2 linked regions of the Yarrowia lipolytica genome follow. The protein of the gene in region 1 binds, or shares a complex with, the protein of each later gene. Links are inferred from orthologs where the notes say so. Each region holds a gene or a part of one and is shown in the gene's direction. Other genes may lie near its edges.

What was found. Proteins that work in one complex are often made in the same cells at the same time.
Region 2: YALI1_D10033g (region 1) and YALI1_D08285g share a complex: the UniProt entries of both Saccharomyces cerevisiae proteins name them as parts of the RNA polymerase III (Pol III) complex. The link is inferred for Yarrowia lipolytica from reciprocal best matches to the Saccharomyces cerevisiae genes RPC31 and RPB5.

Annotation. Positions count from the first base shown.
Region 1 is NC_090773.1:1,001,521-1,004,719, forward strand, and holds YALI1_D10033g (uncharacterized protein), read left to right. Parts: upstream 1-1,849; coding exon 1,850-2,548; downstream 2,549-3,199. Other genes in the region: YALI1_D10022g (uncharacterized protein), read left to right, coding at 778-1,191; YALI1_D10067g (uncharacterized protein), read right to left, coding at 2,928-3,199. UniProt on the Saccharomyces cerevisiae protein: DNA-dependent RNA polymerase catalyzes the transcription of DNA into RNA using the four ribonucleoside triphosphates as substrates. Specific peripheric component of RNA polymerase III which synthesizes small RNAs, such as 5S rRNA and tRNAs.
Region 2 is NC_090773.1:826,918-829,748, forward strand, and holds YALI1_D08285g (uncharacterized protein), read left to right. Parts: upstream 1-1,669; coding exon 1,670-2,308; downstream 2,309-2,831. Other genes in the region: YALI1_D08251g (uncharacterized protein), read left to right, coding at 1-705. UniProt on the Saccharomyces cerevisiae protein: DNA-dependent RNA polymerases catalyze the transcription of DNA into RNA using the four ribonucleoside triphosphates as substrates.

The DNA of each region.
Region 1 (3,199 bases):
TTCCCAAGTATCGTGGGATAGGTGCTCGTACTACAAGTAGCTAAGTGGAGCGAACACATCAGCAGATGCCTTCACATAGAGTACTGGTACGAGGACGAGGAGAAGCGCTGTGGTGGAGTTCGGCAGCGGTTCTCGATGTTTATATAATACGCCACAATACCAGTATCGACCACCTCGTCTATATCATTCATCGAGTGGACCCTACCCCACATCGGATTTATGCGACGTTGATGAAAAAAACTGGTGCATGAGTTGGGTGAGTTGTGCTATGCGAGTACCGGTACGAGTACGTTGTATTTGTACCTGTAGTATGATAAGAGGGAGGGTGTGTTGGTTTTCTTTTCTTTTCTGGCAGTCAGGAAGCCAGTGTCGCCTCTGTTTCAGTTAGTTGCTCCGATGTTGTCTTTTGACCTTGAGCAGTTATTAGGATGTTTAGATACTGGTAGCAGTGTTTCACGTCTAATTTACAGTACTGTACCTGTAGAGAGGTCCATAACAAGACGGTGAGAATGCCATAATCCACCGTCTATGTCTGCGAATAATGGAGATTTCGGGCTGTACAAAAGTGGAATCAATAGTGTAGACACGGGAAAACAACATTAGCAGTCTGTTTTTCTGCAACTTCACCCCCAACTACATTTCGTCCGACACTCGTGGTAAATCCGATAAATCCGACGCAAAAAAACACGGACAACGCCAAAACCTAGATTTCGTACATAGGTTACGCTCTGCATCGTGAAAGAAATATCGCATCCTGACTTGTCCCCCAACAACACCATGCTCAACCAAATCACATTTTTCAACAACTACACGACCACAGACTACATCCGGTTCCTCATCATTGTGGCCGGCTACATTCTTCTGCGACCGCGGATCATGGGAATGGTGAAGAACTACCAGACCAAGCAGATGATCAAGCGGGAGCGAGAAGAGCTGGAGAAGACGCGAGCTGCCCGAGCCAAGGGCGAGCTCGAGGAACCTGAAGATGAGAAGGTGGCCTCCAGTATCGCCTCTGGATCCGGATCTGGCTGGGGAACCGCTGCTCGATCCCGAGCCAACAAGCAGAAGAAGGTGCTCCAGTCTGCCATCGACAAGCAGGAGGAGATGGAGCTGGTCAACGAGAGTGACGAGGAGATTGCCGATTTGTTGGTTCCCGAGGAGGAAGCCCACATTTTCGACAAGAAGGAGTAAATATCGAGTCCATGAGCGATGTTAATGGAAATGAATGGACTCGACCTCTTATACAAGGAGATACCTGACGTGTTCTCTTACACTAGCTGGAGAACCCGGTAAGACCTCTTCAAAAACACCATCTTCCACCAACCATAAAAACAGTACCCTTGACATTTCAGTAATATATTTGTATAGACATCGTGTTGGTTGTATTTTGCACGAGTATCGTATTGTAGGTACTTGTACATACTATGGCAATGTTATGATTTTGACTAAGCAGGAATGTAGCATGTAGAAAGGCACAATAGGGGTTTTCGGGGTGTCGGTTACCTACAAAGGGCCCTCGGAACACATCCATCCATCCATCCCGTTCCCTTTCCCCTCTTCCATGGCCCATTCTATCCACATCCCTCCACTTGACTTCCACTCTGTCCAGTGTGCACTCACACCATTAAACTTATCATGCATGCATTTCGAGGTCCAATTTTTTTCCCAATCTAAAATTATTTCCATCTGAGGCAAGGTCGACTTTGGGGAGTGTCAAAAGAGGGCAAACAAGTCGAGAGAGAGAAAAAAAAACACACCATCAACCACGTCAGCAACATACAAACGCGATCGATCATCACTTGATTCGCTCTAAACCACACCACAGCTTCCTTTAATCACACACCACAGCATGTCATTCAGACGCCCAGCCATGTACCAGCTCGGAATCGAGACTGGTCCTATGGTCCCCACAGATCTATACCCTCCGGCCAACGTGCCTCTTCAGGATCCACCCAGCGCATCGGAGCGAGAGGTGGCTGCACAGTTTTATAAGTTCCAGGCTGAAGTCAGAGACGGACCTCTGTACACAGGCTCAGTGGAGGTCAAGACGGGGCCGAACGGACAGAAAAAGGCGTCACGGATACTCATCGAGGTAGACGATGCGTGTGATGACGGCATCAGACGATACACGGATCGGTACAGAAAGAAGCGAAAGGTCGGTCGGTCGATAGATGAGCATCCGTATATTCTGGAGCTGTTCCCCCAGGAGCTTCACGAGGCCATGGGAGCAAAGAAGGAGGCTGGAGAGGATGTTAAGCGTCGTCGAGCGGGTATTTCCAAGTTTGCCAACTCGCTGATCCAGGCGGACGAAGCCGATCTGTCGCCTGTGGAGCTGGAGGCACGTCTCAAGGCCCAGCAGGCCCTGACCATGGTGGATGACAAGGAGCTGGAGGCTCGTCTGGGCCAGGAGGCAGCTGATTCTGAGGAGGAGGAGATTGAAGATGATGTCTACGATGACGAAGATGATAACGATTACAATGCTGAGGGATACTTCGATAACGGTGATGAAGATGATGATGATGGAGATGACGACGAGGCCAACTTTTAGGATCTGAACTGAACCAGACCCAAAAAACTACAAAATACGCCCCCTGTTTTATAGATTATTAATTGAAGATGAGTATTTCACTTTCGACGTAGCGAGAGAGAGCAGTATCTATAGCTAAAGCAGTATCTACAGCATTGGTACACTGCTTCTCGTTATACTAGAACAGACGCATTGCTACGATACTCAACGCGTTGTCTACTTTAGCCACCCGTATATAAACCAACTAGAACGTAGCTACCTGTACGGCCCACACAATAAGTTCTGTAGATTATCTATACAAATATGAGTACGTGTAAAGCACGTGTTATGTGAGACACTTGAGTGTGTAATGTGTGTGTGTGTGTGTGTGTGTGTGTGTGTGTGTGTGTAATGAGTTGGCTTAATAGCCCTGGTAGCCATCATACTCCGGCTCGGCTACGTAGTACTCATCTCGAGTCATGCCGAGAGGAATCTTGGGAGGCAGCTGGGGCTTGCGATACATTTCCTGAGGAGGAGGAGGTCGACTCACCTTCTTCTTCTGAGTAACTGCATGGAACACAGAGTCCGAATACTTCGCGTTGAGCTGGTCGGAAATATCCCACTGGCCTTCGCCCTTGTATCCCGCATGTCCAGGGTCCACTTGGCCTGCAGGAACTGTAGGAAGACGTCTAG
Region 2 (2,831 bases), about 170 kb from region 1:
AAGTTCCGTCTGTTTGGCAAAAAGAAGCGAAATTCCGTCGCTGGTGCCTCTTCCACCCCCACAGTCAACACGGCAGCAGCCGCGGCCACAACTAACGGTACAAGTAAGCCCACTTCTCCCGTGGCCACTACCCGACCGTCTACTGCCGCCAACGCTGCTGCCGCCTCTTCTGCTGCTGCCGATGTGCCTCCTCCCAACCTGGAAGCCATTACTGCAACTACACGGGCCAAGTATGCGTCTTCAAGCGACGCCTCTCTGCTCAAGCCACCATCCCTCCCCAAGCTCGAGATCCCCAATGTCGTGGTTATCATTTCGCAATACAATTCTGACTTTGGCGAAAACATGGACTTGGTGTGTGAGCAGCGCGACAAGTTTGAGAGTCATTACAACGACCTGCCCGATTGGGTGGTAAATTTGCTTCTGTTCAACCAGATTCCACACAAGGATCCCGTCAAGGTGAACTTCACGCTGACACCGGAGCACGAGAAGGATGCCATCAACCCCCCTAGACTCAGTGCGTACCGAATGCTGCGTATTAAGAGGATTACTAATTACATTAGCGATCATCTGGCGTCTAGACCTAATCCTGAAACCATTGAGTTGTCCTGTCAGGGCCGTGTTCTGGGACCTAAGGAGACGTTGGCCAGTGTGAGAAGCCTGTGGAAGACGGGAGGAGACGTGGTTATCAATTATCGTTTTGTGTAATTCAGTGTGTGCGTGGATTACTAGGTGATCGCCGAGCAACACTGAGCAGCACTGAGTGGGTGAGCATTTTGCTGAGTCGACAGGCCAGTGTGTTGCCTACGTTCATAGATTCTTACAGCTGTACCAAGTGCAGCTCATCGGGACAGTATTAGCCCGTTTATTTAATGCATTTTGAGGAATGACTGGGTTGGAGATGAGTAAACTGCTGCTGTGGGTTTGCCACGTCCAGAGTATGTATTCCATAGCCATTATTATATTCGTTGTCTTAAGAAGCACACAAGATAAACATGGACCGATTGATGGTGCTGTCTGGACAGCTTCGTTTCCTTGGTTCCTATGGCGACGATTAGGAAGCGGCTTTAGGTGAAGCTCGACTTTTCAGTTAACAAACTTTCAACTAATGTCAGTTCTTAGATATTCCCAAAAAGCAGTTTTACAGCTAGTTTCTCTACATAAAGGAGAGCTTTTGCTTAATAAGATGAATATGTGGCAGATTTTATTCCAAATTATATATTCGCCATCACTCTAGCTGCTCTGGAACACCGATTTTGCCCCCCTAGTCTACATTTTCCTTTAACTAATTTCTAAGTAACAGAAGCACTGATGGTGAATTTGACTCTACTGAGTGCCTGTAAGGGTATGTGACCAAGGAAGCAACGATTCAGCTGAAATTCAACTGGTTAATATATCTGCGTTGGAGAAGAGACATATGACAAAAACAGCAAGTCTCTGGTGTTTCCCACACTCAAACCTCCCCACAATATAATTTGCGTTGTTGGCGGATCGAACTGACAACCTTCCCCTCACGCACACACACACACACACCCAACTCCTCCTATTAACCTCGGGCCCTAACCCCGCTAGTGACGAAAATATGCAGTGTGCAAAAAAATGAGTGCACGCCTTTGCAAACCGTCTGGTCACATCACCAACACATCTATTCGCACCACTCACATCAATCGACATGTCATCGGACGACGCACAGAAGCTTTGGAAAGTGTACCGAACGGCCAAGGAGCTGGTCAAGGACCGGGGCTACACCATCACCGACAAGGAGGTGAATCTGTCCTTCGACCAGTTTGTGTCGGAGATGTGTGATCCCATGGGCAAGCCCATCAAGAAGAAAATGTGTTTCATGGCGTCTCCCTCGCCCGAAGCCATCGAAAAGTTCCCCGAAATGGGCAACATTTGGGTCGAGTTCTGTGAGGAGGCCAGTGTGACGGTCAAGACGATGCGAAACTTTTGCATCCACATTTCGGAAAACAAGTTTGCCACGGGTATCCTGGTGTACGAAAACAACATGACTCCGTCCGCCAACCGACTCATCCCTTCGGTTGCTCCCGCCACCATCGACACCTTCCAGGAGACCGATCTGCTGGTCAACATCACCAAGCACGTTCTGGTGCCCACTCACATCAAGCTGTCTGGCGCAGAGAAGAAGTTTCTGCTGGAACGGTACCGACTGAAGGAGTCGCAGCTGCCCCGAATCCAGCGGGAGGACCCTGTTGCGCGGTACCTAGGTCTGCGACGAGGCCAGATTGTCAAGATTATCCGACGGTCGGAGACCTCTGGACGGTACGCCAGTTACCGAATTTGTCTCTAAGCGGAGGGAGCCACGCGACTTTTGCTTAGCATTCGATGCTGCCTTCTACCGCTTGCATCGACTCTGCTGGTTGAACAGACTTACATATGGCGCTATCAGGTATTTCAGACGGTTCATGGAACACGGAATAGGAAACGGCATGGAGGATCATGGAGGAAGAAGAGCCTCAAATAGATTAATTATTGTACTTTAGATGTTGGTGGTGGGGGTGGAGGTGTGGAAGGGTGCTGACGGTTGATACAGATGTAGGGAGATGTGCCAGTCACTAGTATGGTATAAGAGAGACCAGGTTGTCTTTGTGGTTGTTCTAGACCGTGGCCGAAAGGGGCTCAGATAGATGCTGCCACTACCCTCAGCAGAAGAGAAGGTAATTGTATCACAGCAGCAACGGCTCCGTTGAGTGGCTATCAGGGAGGTAGCCAGCTGACTTTGTGGTCTCCAGTACGAGGAATGTACTGAAGAGGTAGCTGCTCTTATGGACCTAGCTACTTTGTAGCTCCTTTTTGATCTGATTTTCTTCAAT